2 linked regions of the Arabidopsis thaliana genome follow. The protein of the gene in region 2 interacts with the protein of the main gene of each other region in a biochemical or structural test. Each region holds a gene or a part of one and is shown on either strand. Other genes may lie near its edges.

Evidence for each region.
Region 1: the proteins of AT1G67700 (region 2) and PSBP-1 form a complex in vitro, tested with the Arabidopsis thaliana proteins (one study listed by BioGRID).

What each region holds. Positions count from the first base shown.
Region 1 is NC_003070.9:2,044,798-2,050,879, reverse strand, and holds PSBP-1 (photosystem II subunit P-1), read right to left. Parts: upstream 3,247-6,082; 5' UTR 2,941-3,246; coding exon 2,694-2,940; coding exon of another isoform or gene 2,690-2,693; intron 2,584-2,689; coding exon 2,351-2,583; intron 2,261-2,350; coding exon 2,210-2,260; intron 1,955-2,209; coding exon 1,694-1,954; 3' UTR 1,441-1,693; downstream 1-1,440. Other genes in the region: AT1G06690 (NAD(P)-linked oxidoreductase superfamily protein), read left to right, coding at 10-177, 324-406, 722-784, 953-1,138; NIH (nuclear DEIH-boxhelicase), read right to left, coding at 3,547-5,007, 5,094-6,082. UniProt on the Arabidopsis thaliana protein: May be involved in the regulation of photosystem II.
Region 2 is NC_003070.9:25,371,195-25,377,464, forward strand, and holds AT1G67700 (multidrug resistance protein), read left to right. Parts: upstream 1-2,877; 5' UTR 2,878-2,898; intron 2,899-2,943; exon of another isoform or gene 2,944-2,994; 5' UTR 2,995-3,100; coding exon 3,101-3,373; intron 3,374-3,764; coding exon 3,765-3,902; intron 3,903-4,000; coding exon 4,001-4,087; intron 4,088-4,211; coding exon 4,212-4,259; intron 4,260-4,375; coding exon 4,376-4,518; coding exon of another isoform or gene 4,519-4,522; exon of another isoform or gene 4,523-4,532; intron 4,533-4,609; coding exon 4,610-4,616; 3' UTR 4,617-4,856; downstream 4,857-6,270. Other genes in the region: AT1G67690 (Zincin-like metalloproteases family protein), read left to right, coding at 9-101, 178-258, 334-496, 638-758, 845-917, 1,058-1,165, 1,277-1,374, 1,460-1,505 and 5 more; ARR11 (response regulator 11), read right to left, coding at 5,800-6,270. UniProt on the Arabidopsis thaliana protein: Involved in photoprotection. Forms a complex with LQY1 that is involved in the repair and reassembly cycle of the PSII-LHCII supercomplex under high-light conditions. May function in guiding the release of psbC from PSII core monomers.

The sequences.
Region 1 (6,082 bases), about 23 Mb from region 2:
ATTTTTCAGAGAAGCGGCTTCGTGATGCTTATGAAAGACTCAAAAAGAGAGGAATTCCTCTGGCCTCAAATCAAGTCAACTACAGTCTGATATACAGAGCTCCAGAGCAGACTGGTGTTAAGGCTGCTTGTGATGAGCTTGGAGTTACTTTAATTGCATATTCCCCCATCGCTCAAGGTAATCTGCCTTTATCTCCTTTGCGTTGTGTTCATGTCTATCGTTCTCTAGAAAAGTTGCATCAGGCTCTTATAGTATTGACGCAAAACAACCTGGCTAATGAACACATACATTTTCCGTTATTTGCTCTTTTGTCTTTTTTCCAGGTGCTCTAACTGGTAAATACACCCCAGAGAACCCACCCTCAGGTCCTCGGGGTCGCATTTATACGCGTGAGTTCTTAACAAAGGTAATAGCTTTCGCTGCATATATCTAAGTTATTTAACACAGGCGTGTATGTCTGCAAAACCATAGTTACATCTGAATAACCCTCGAGTCTTCTAAGAAACAGATTTTTGGATTTTGATAACTTGTATATCTCACTGTTATAAACCTGTCGATTTTCTCCTCTAATCCTGCTTTTTTCTTAGTAAGTTCTGTTTTGAGACAAAGTATACACTTTTATACAAAACACAACACCAATCAATGTACCTATACAGAAATTATCAAAAGGTAGCATAATAGTGCCAGGTTTCTTCACTAACTTTGACTTGTGACGTTACAGCTTCAACCCCTGTTGAATAGAATCAAACAAATTGGGGAAAACTACAGCAAAACTCCCACACAGGTTCTTTCCCTTTTCCTTATGCACTCTGTTTTTCTTTTTCCCTGTCCAAAAACGTTAAGAAAAATACAAAAGAGTAATTGTGTGATCCATATTAAGCTATCCAAGTGTACACCCTCGATTTTGCATCAAATCATATGCCTTCTTGTTTTGTTGTGTTGTGCTGTGCAGATAGCATTGAACTGGTTGGTGGCACAAGGGAACGTGATACCCATCCCAGGAGCCAAGAACGCAGAACAAGCCAAAGAGTTTGCTGGAGCGATAGGTTGGAGTCTGACAGACAATGAAGTGAGTGAGCTACGGTCCCTGGCCTCTGAGATAAAACCCGTCGTTGGTTTCCCTGTTGAGTATCTCTGAACTCTTAACACTCTGTTTGTAGCATTTGTAAAGCTCAAAAGTTACAATATGAACTAAAAGTAGTATATAGATGATGGTAAAGTGTTGTAATACATATGCAAATAAAATCTTTTTGCCTCTTTGAGAACTTTACAGTAGCCAAAAAGAAAGAGGAGGGCCTTTGGCATATGCTTCAATAGATCTAGTTAGAGTCAGACGTCAAAATTCATCTGCGTTTTAACCTTTCTGTTGACTAGAAGAACCATTTGATGCTTACCTCTTTTCATATCAGCTTCAAGCAGGCTTTCTTCTCACTATCTTTGTGCTTTCAAGGATTTAGATTTAGTCTATAGCTTCTTTCTGAGTCAATATCTTATTAATTTGAGAAAATATCTATTGAATATAGTTGTTTTTTAAGAAAACTTGGAAAACGAGTCTGTTATCATAGGTACACAAGTGATGCCGAAAAGGTAACATCATCTTGATAGTTCTCAAAAGCTCAGTTTCATTTTCCATTTTTTACAAGAGACAAATGAAGAAAGCAAGCAGAGCATTGTTACGTTGTGTTGCTTTCACTCAAGCAACACTGAAAGAAGTGGCTGCGCTCTCGACAAATTTCCTGGCTCCCTTGAACCACCTCTTGTCTCCAGCTTGTGCTTTGCAGATGTAAAGCTTCCCTCCATTCACGGTTGCTGTGATCAGCTGATGCTTCCCACCTTCGTCTCCATCAGCCGTTCTTGTCAACACAGACAAGTAATAGTAGGGTTTCCCACCAACTTCCTGAGATGATGACTCCAGAATGTTTGCTGTTGCCACTGCATTGTTGTCAAAGCCTCCCTGTAAGAACATCAGATTCACACACACACAGAGTTAGAACTTGATAACTCACTCCACCTAAGGTAAGAATCTTTCTTGTAATAATCATCGACTACTAGAGAGGTCTTTGAAGGTTATCAGTTAAAAAAGCTTTTGAGTTTTGTTTTATCAGTTAACAACGAGGGAGACAATGTGTTCTCTCTTTAGTGTTTGATTCTCTTATTCTATTCTATCAGCTTCTGGTTTACTTATAACAAATAACAATGGGAAGTTTACCTCAGAGGCAGTCTCACCGAAGTAAGCTTGTTTCCCTAGGAGGTAATTAACCTGCATAAAGCCCAAATCACCACTCAGTCTCACACTTCATTAGATTTTGTAACATCAATACCTTTACAGATGATGGAGTAAAGCAAAGACCTGAGAGAGGAACTCTTCGGGAGAACCGTAATCAGTGATGGACTTCTTGTCGGTAGGAGTGACCATGACATTGAGATTGCTAGTAGCATCGAAGTTGTCTTCGAACCTAAGGACTTGTCCTGGATACTCAATCTCTTTGCTTGGGTTCCATTTTGCTGGAACCTGCACTTTGAACCCATCTCCATTGTATGGCAAGAAGTCTGTGTTCGTCTTTGGCTTCCCAAACACGTTTGCTGCAACAAACCAAAAAATAAAAATAGGATGAAAAAAACACAATATGTTCTTCAAGATTCTTCTTCAAGAAAATGAAATGATCCAAGGTTATTTTATTTTATAAACGCACCAGCTTCACCGTAGGCGGCATCAGCAGGAGATACTTTGGAACCAACAGCAGCGGCGCCGACGAGGAGAGTGAGAGCAAGACGGCGGGAGACGGCGGAGTTATCGTCTTCATGAGACTGTTGAGCTTTACAGATGATCTGAACAGGTTTGGAGAGCGACACGTGACGCTGGGATGAGGAGGAAGATGATGATCGTGCGGCTGATGAAGCCAATGCGCTCTGGTGTAGGAAACACGCACTGTACGCCATTATCTCTGTCTCTCTTTCTCTCTTTCTCTCTTCTCTCCTTGTGTGTGATTAAGTTATGAAAGTGTTTTTTGAGGATTGTTGGTGTGTTAATGTATGGAGGTGAAACCAAGAGTGAAGCTGATTGGTTGGTTTCGGATATTGGAGGATCTCTCTGTTGATGTCCAGATAAGGCTGTTGAGGTGTTGTATTGTGCCACGTGGCAGATACGCTTTCTTCTTGTTCCACGTCAGATTCATAAGCCTTCGATTCCATCTATTTTAGTATTTTACTCTAAAGCCATTCCATGATCAAATCTTTTTTCTGCTCACACTAAGACACTACAGTACTGGATCAATAATGGCTTTTCTTCTTTCAGTTACATGCGTATATCTTAAAACGTTTATAACGATAGAACAACGGAAGCACTAAGTGAGAATGAATACAAATTATCTAACAAAATTGTTGAAATTAAGAATCTGTTACACTTATGTAGACAAGTGCCATTTCAAAACTTGGTTTCATGACAAACACCGAAATGCTCATTAAAACACCAAAGTGGAATGGGCATCATACTTCCCTTCTTCTTTCGGTTTTGCTTAGGTTGGTGCAGTATTTGAGCCACACTGCTCATTGATCGGAAGGTATGCTCGGTTTTTCCTCAATCAAACCTGACTTGTTTCCCTGGCTCAATACATTAGTGGAAGGCATTTTCTCTTCCATATTGTTAACCGAATCAAAGTTGTTAGCTAATTTGCGCTTTTTCTTTTTTGGTTTCTTAGCTGGAGCAGTGTTTGAGTCAGGTTGCTCATTCCCACTGACAAGATTCGAAGGAATGCTCTCTTTCTCCTTACCCGGATCCAACCTGTTGACTGACTCAGGATCTTTTTGCTCATTTCCGTTTGCCAGATCAGAAGGCTTGTTTTCTTCCATGTTCCCCAAGTCCAGGTTGTTGACTGATTTGCACTTTTTGGACCTTGATCGCTTCTTTTTTGGTTGCTTAGCAGCTTCCATTGGAGCAGTGGTTGGGTCAGGTTGTTCATCCCCATTAGCAAGATTCAAAGGCAAGCTCTCTTCCATGTTACCATAATCCGAGTTGTTAGGTAGCCTAAGCTCTGTTTGCTCATTCTCATTAGCCAGATCCGAAGGCGTGTTCTCTTTCATATTCCCTAAATCCAAGTTGTTGGCTGACTTGGGCTCTGTTTGCTCATTCTCATTTGCCAGATCGGAAGGCTTGCTCTTTTCCATCTTCCCCAAATCCAGGTTGTTGCCTGATTTGCGCTTTTTAGACCTGGATCGCTTCTTTTCTGGTTGCTTAGCCGCTGAAGCATCTTCACCTGGAGCAATGTTTAGGTCATGTTGCTCATTTCCATTGACGAGATTAGAAGGAATGCTCACTTTCTCGCTACCCAGATCCAACTTGCTGACTGACTTAGGCTCTTTTTTCTTATTCCCATTTGCCAAATCAGAAGGCGTGTTCTCTTCCATGTTCCCTAAATCCATGCTGTTGGCTGAGTTAGGCTCTGTTTTCTCATTCCCATTGGCCAGATCAGAAGGCGTGTTCTCTTCCATGTTCCCCATGTCCAAGTTGCTAGCTAACTTCGGCAATGTTTGCTCATTCCCAATAGCCAGATCAGAAGGTGGGTTCTCTTCCATGTTCCCGAAATTCTCTTCAATGTTCCCCAAATCCACGTTGTTGAGCGACTTGCACCTTTTGGACTCTGACTGCATCTTCTTTTGTTTTGTAGCCGCCGAAACATCTTCCACTGGAGAAGTGTTTGGGTCAGGTTGCTCATTCCCATCAGCGAAATTTGAAGGCAAGCTCTCTTCCATATTACCCAAACCCAACTTGTTGGCTAATTCGAGCTTTGACCCCATTGGAGTAGTGTTCGGGTCATGCTCCCGAAGCTCATTGGGGTTAGTGGAAGGTATGTCATCTCTGGGACTCGTTGCATCTACCACTGAAGTAATAGGTTGCACAGCTACAGTTTGAACTGAAGATTGTGCGAGGCTATCATATGAGAGAACAGAAGCTATTGCATACATAGAAGCACCGAGATGAGGCGGCAAATTTTCCTTTGGATGTTTAACCTACAAATGCATATGGAAGGTTGAAAAGGATGACATTGCCAAAATAAAATAATGAAAATCTTAAATCGTAGTGATAACTCATGTACCTTGAACAAAATGGACGCCATTAGTCTCTCTCTCAAGATGTACATTTGAGCAATTTCAAAAGCTGTAACCTTGAAAGGCAGCCACCGATCCACTACTACTTTTACTGAATTTTCCGGCCCAAGCATTATTTTCTCTCCAGGCCTACCAACTTCTTTATCTATGTCCATCGCGTCTCCTACATTTCCTACTTTGTGGTCTTCCTCGTCATCACTCTTAACAGCATCATAGCTCTCTGTAGTAGAAACGGCTATCTCTCTTGAAAACAGTAACACAGGTATAGTGGGAAGAACAGTGCAGCTCCTTATCACCACACCCCAATCTCCTCGAGTGATCTCATCAAAAACAATTAAAGCTTCGTCAAACTTGGTAGAGGACATGTCAACATTGTTTGATAGCGAGGGCACACGGACTTTGGCTCCAGCAATAGTCTCTATTACAGACCTTGTCCGATTCTTGGAAAGTGGGCACATCCTTCCCAACATAGGGTACAATCCAACTGCTATAACAGCACGGAGAATACCCGGATCATGAGCATTCAGGCTACAGTTTGAGCTGCTGCTAGGTATGACCCCATGTCTATTAAGTTCTCCCTGAAGCTTGCGACACAGATCATCCAGCCTCTTCATGACAACTTGGGAGATGAAGTACTTAGAACAAAACTCCTTAGCTTGACCACTTGCTTTTGCATTTTTCCAGCACTGAAAAGCCGCGACAGTGGCAAGATGATCACTGTGGTCTCCATAAAGCGATGCAAGTTCATGTTTTGCGGCAGCAGCCTTTTTTCTATCACCTGGCGACAAGGGCATGGTAAACGGATCCTTCTCGTCAGCTGCACATGCCAGAATAAGTGCTGGATCCAAACAGTTCACTAATATGGCGAAATAAATCATCTTGCTAATCCGAGGATGAACTGGAAGCTGACCAAATTTCTGTCCAAGTTCAGTCAGCTCTTCTTCAGGAGTCAAAGCTCCAATATCTTTAAGGATGA
Region 2 (6,270 bases):
CTCTGTAGGTTCAGTCACGCCATAGATTAGCATGCGTATGTGGTTATGCACACTTCGCAGATTATGCTCTTGATCGTAGGATGTCAAAGACATCAATGAGGGTTTGTGAAAGAACCTTTAAGTGATTAATCTAACATTCTTCATGACTCCTTTGTACTGACGCCCTTCTTATGCCAGGTGATCAGGTTCCTGGAGGACATTTCTTCCAGTTTAACTGACTTGGCTATTAGAGAGTTTTCCATTTTGGAAGACTTGAAGGTAATCGAATGTTGGTATTATATAATTACAGGTTATGCCTTTCTCACTACTTAACTTGCTGAGTTTTAATATCAGAGGAAAGAAGAAGGGGAGATTCCATTTGGCGTAGAAGATCTTTTATACTACATAAAGAGGGTAGAGGAGTTGCAGTTTGATCTTGATTTTGGAGATATCCGGCAATATTTTCCTGTCAACTTGGTCCTTTCCGGGATCTTTAAAATATGTCAGGACCTTTTTGGTGAGTTTACGTCTGTACTCTAAAATCTTTTGGGGGTATTAATAAATTTTTGCTTTGCTTCTGTGGCTTGAGAATATTTACTATCCATTTATTTGATCCTCGTCATAGCTTGCTGGCCAACTTAATGATTTCGCCATGCAGGAATAAAATTTGAGGAGGTTACAGAAGTTGATGTCTGGTATCATGATATTCGAGCTTTTGCCGTCTTTGACTCAGGATCTGGAAAGCTTTTGGGATATTTCTATCTTGACATGTTTACAAGGTCCATTAGCAACCTTACTTCATTCTCCTCTTTACTTTTAGAGCCTCCATTTCATTTTGAGTTGTGATAATAATTTTGTTTGACAGGGAAGGAAAATGTAATCACAGCTGTGTGGTGGCTCTTCAGAATAACGCACTGTTCTCCAATGGTGCATGTCAGGTGACAATCCTACATCCATGTCGGACCTTTATGTGGAAGTATCATGCAACTCAAATATAAATCGATATTGTGATCTCATGTGGATGTATTTTAAGGTTTTAGTATTCGTATTTTGGCATTTATTTTGTTTCTGTCTCCAGATTCCTGTGGCGTTGCTTATTGCACAGTTTGCAAAGGATGGTAGTGGTGAAGCTGTGCCATTGGGATTTTCTGACGTGGTTAATCTTTTTCATGAGTTTGGCCATGTGGTACGTGAATGAAATTGGTTACGTGGAACAGCAGAATAAATTCTGTTGGTATCTTTTGTATGTATCAGGGGATGTTATTAGCTGATATTCCTTGCTACTATTGGTAAATAGGTCCAACATATCTGCAATCGTGCTTCATTTGCTAGATTCTCGGGCCTACGTGTTGACCCCGACTTTCGGGAGATTCCTTCTCAGTTATTGGAAAACTGGCAAGTAAACTGATAATTTTTTCTTAAAATCTTTCTGTATTAACACTAAATCCTAATAGACGGAATATAATTCTTGTATCTCTAGGTGTTACGAAAGTTTCACGTTGAAGTTAATATCAGGTTATCGTCAGGTGAGCGCTTCTCACGACTAAATTGTTGACAATTGTTCTTGTCGTAGACTAGTCATAATAATTTGTTTTAACCTGGGATTTATTCCTGCAGGATATCACCAAGCCACTTGTGGATGAAGTCTGCAAAACACTCAAACGTTGGCGATATTCTTTCTCTGCACTAAAGTCGCTTCAGGAGATATTATACTGTGAGATATTAATTGACTTTTAATGATGCTTATATACCTTTTCATTTTGACTTCATTGTAGTTTTTAAACTGAAATATCAATTCCTCACAATCGTTAGGACAAATGGTTTGTTAGTAAGACGAGTAGATTGTGGTTCTTATTATGCTTTAGAGGAAGCAGTAGTTAACTAAGAAGTCTACTAGCGGGTAAAATGTGGTATTGCCTAATGATGCTTGAAATATGGATGATCAGGTCTATTTGATCAAATAATATATTCGGACGATGATGCTGACTTACTCCAGCTAATCAGGAGTCTTCATCCAAAGGTAAAAGCATAAACTCTCAAAGCAATCTGGTCTGTTTACGGCAAAGAAATTTTCTCATACTAGTGTCTTTCTATATATAGGTAATGATAGGGCTACCAGTGGTGGAAGGAACCAACCCTGCTTCATGTTTCCCACGTGCTGTAATTGGCTCTGAAGCAACATGTTACAGTCGTTTATGGAGTGAGGTATGATTGATTTGCACTGTGGTGATCCGTACCTTCCATGACTTTAGTCTGAGAATCCACCTATTTCCACAGGTGTATGCTGCTGATATATTTGCTTCAAAATTTGGAGATGGGCATCCGAATCTATATGCCGGCTTGCAGTTCAGAGACAAAGTGAGAAGCGTATTTGTTTGTCTTTCCTTTGATTTAGTAGTGTGTGAGTGTAAAAGGACTAAACAAGTAACAACTACTTTCTTATTAGGTGTTGGCCCCAGGAGGAGGCAAAGAACCAATGGAACTTCTCACCAATTTTCTTGGAAGGGAACCATCAACACAAGCTTTCATCGCTAGCCGGACAAACTATAGTTTGTAGTATTTTGCACCTAACATTAGGTTCCAGTGAATCTGGTAGCTGGTGAAAATAAACATTTCTTTGGTTGTTAGAGACATCGTTTATTGATGTTTGTTAATGTGTTGAGAGGACCTAGCGGTTTAGGTGGAAACTGTAATCATTCATTCTTAGTTTCTTACCTTTCTCTGCATCGCAATCTCAAATTACGAAGAGTTATATAACATAGTGATCATCATTGAGCATGTACGGTGTTGAAGATAAGGACTTGTCTCGATCAATTTACAAGACAGATTCTAATATTATGGTTTTCTTCTCTTATTAAGACAAGAATAGTATTGTCTTTTTGGTTTACTTTGGAAATAGGATTGTAACAGGCCTTAAAGGTAAGTAGTTTCAGACATACGTAAAAGAAAAGAGTTTCAGATTACCTTATGAAGTACGGTTCTGGTTCGGTTTAAACTGGTTTGAACACGTGGCAGGTACAAGTAGATAAGGTACGAATCCACGAAATCATCATCTTCCCCAAACCAAATAATCTCTCGTTTCTAAACAAACTAGTGGTGAGTGAATCTTCTCTGGTGAGTAATGGAAGTGAGTATGTCTTTGAATGCGTTAACTCGGCTTCCTCTGAAGAACACAGGAAGATTCGAAGAGGTTGGTTTAGCGAGACACTCTCTGTTTAGCTCAAGAACGGCATGCCGAGAGACGGCGGTACAGCAGCGGCGGATGGTTTTTGTGGTGGAGGCTAAGGGAAAGAAAGGTATGGCGGCGCGTCAGTATCAACGTACACCTCCTCCTATGCCTAAGATTGAAGACGATGGAAACCCAAGATTCGTTATCTTCATTCGTATGGCCAATGTTCGTCTCTTTTCCACTCTTTCTTCACTTAGCTTGGATTAGGAGATAATTAAACGCTTAAACATGTTAGCTTTGCTTTGGTTCTGTTTCCAAAGTTATATACTTTTTTCAATTTGATACTCCTAGACCAATTATTAGATTGCAAATCATCTGGTTTCATCAAATTTGGATTTTTCAACATTTCAGCTCTTTGTTCTAGTACGTGTTTGTTTATAACATGAATTAAAATTGTTAGCTTGATTGGTTTTGTTTGCAAAGTTATGTACTTTCTTTCATTCGATCCTTTTAGATCAATTATCAGATTGCAATTGTGTTCTGGTTTCATCAATGCGAGTGTTCTTTTCAGCATTTTACTTTTTGTTGTAAAAAGTGTTTCTTGTGACGTGAACAGGTGTATCTTTGGTATCCTCTGAGTATAATAGCTGGTGGTACTACTGCTAAGATCATGGTTGCTGCAAAAGATAACCTCTTGGGGAAGTATATCTACAAAGACACCATTGCAAGAAACATTGCCGCTGTTATTTACAGAGTAAATTACACAAGCTTCTGCTTATTCTTGTGTGGTTGATTCCACTATTAATATGTGTCTCTTTAGATGTTATTTCTAATTGTTTTTATCTTCAACAGGATGAGAAAGAGATTCAAAAGACAGCAATTAAGCAGCATCGTGTCTTGCGTACAGCCACCGAGTTTCGATATGGCTACAAACTTGTAGTAATGCTCTCAAAACCCTTTTTCTTCAGTTATTGGAAGCTCTGCTTCATTTTGTAGTTGATGAGACCGTAGGAAAAGTTTTCTGGTTTCGTTTTCACTTATTATGGCTGTATTATACATTCAGGAAAACGGAAACATGAGAGCTGCACTTAGTACTTCAGATGTTATTGAGGTGAGCTATACTTAACTACATGAGATCAGCTCTCAAACTTCCTACAGTGACACCAAAAGGATGCTGTTATAGATGTTTTGTCTGAAACGTTTGTGTTTTGTCCTGAACCATCGCAGCTCCCAACCCAGGACCAGCTTAAAACAGTGTTCGACAAAGTTAAAGACTACTTTGGGGATGCAAAAGAGTCATTCGGAAAGCTATCATCGCTGAACCCGGGGAGTGACGAAAAAACTGAAGAAACCTCGGATGAGAAAGCCAAGTAAGTATAAACAGGTACTGAATGTTTCTTCTTTTCATTTTCACTAGAATTTTGGTGTTTTTCACCAAAATGATATACAACCGTTTTACAGGGCCTGAGGCTGAACAATTGACACTTGGTTGGTTGATTTTGATGTCTCAACCGTCTCGGTATGGGCTGCAGAAGGTCACTGGATATGACGAGACTACCGCTATTTTGTGCACATTTTCTCTATACATCTCTCACAGAAACAGCTTCTGTTAAATCTCTTGTAACATATAACTTATTGTGTATTGTAGATTTGTTGAAAGAAAGAGCCATTGGTTACAACTTGCAATTTCAACTTTTCTTAGACATTGGTCAAACAATAGTAGTCGAAAATAGGAAAACTTCCCACTATATCTTTCGAAGAAACCCTTAACTAGAACTGTGAACAAGATATGCAAAAGCTTCGTGAAGGTGAGAGCAAGACCATTTGCAGAGATTTAGTAGAATCTCCCTGATTGCTCCAGTAGGTAAAAAATCTAGTTCTGCGCAGTATTGGCGACATCTGACTGTCCGAACATTGCAATATGGTGTGTGTAGCTTCATAAATTGTTTGTTATGAATAAATTAGAGCTTTGTCAGGTAACTAATCCATTGCCTGCATAGAAAGATGTTAGATAGTTCAAAACTCTGAAGTTTCCCATCTTGGATCTGGTGGCAAGTGGCAACTGTTAGATATCTTCGATGTAAAACGTTTCCCGTAACACTCATTTGTATATCTGCTCTAAGATTGTGAACTCTCACATTATTTGATGATAAGGTTATGGGACAGATTCTCAACAGATAAAAGAACATCACATGTGGCAACTGTTAGATATCTTCGATGTAAAACGTTTCCCGTAACACTCATTTGTATATCTGCTCTAAGATTGTGAACTCTCACATTATTTGATGATAAGGTTATGGGACAGATTCTCAACAGATAAAAGAACATCACATGTGTTGGAGTAAGGAGGTAAAATTCCTAAGTTTTGCAATTAGATTCAATGTGTAGTAGAGATCTTTTTTTCATGATATGACATGCAAACTAATTTCCTTCCAGGTGACAGTGAAGATCTTAAGCGACGGTGTGAAACATGTGGCCTTATCACTGTCATCAACCTGTTTGGTGTAATTAGCCTACGACACTCGTGGATTATTGTACAATGCATCCGATCATGGAAGGTTCTTGGGAAAGCAAGATTATTTTCAGGTATACCCACAAAATCTTTCTGCATTACACCAACCAATATACGAAAAGAAGTTATTGGAACAAGGTTAAGATATGAATAAACCTTGGTCTACCATGAAGGAATACTCGTCAGGGTCAGGCAGCCGCTCATTTCCATACCAATTAAGGTGGGCTGGGAGCTCAGATAGGAGTGATGGGCTACTACTGTAATCTTGAAACTGGAGTCCGGTGTTTGCAAGAAAACGCTCGCCTTGAAGCCAAGTCAAGTCTAAGTCAGTGTCTAAAGAAACAGAATGATGTGATTCTGGAAGTTCCCAGTTCAAGCTTCTCAGAATCGCCTCTGTGTTGAACTCCTGCAGCTTCATGGCAGAGGGATCCAAATCTTGAAGGGTTACAGTAGGGATCTTGTCTTGTGGCATGAGAAACTCATCTGCATTCACACTACTGCCTCCTGCTGGTGTCTCATAAGGAGGCTTCATTTCCTCCTCCATGAGAGATGGTGCAGAATTTGCAACATAGGAACTTTGACTTGGCAATGGTTGTTGCTGGAGAAAGCT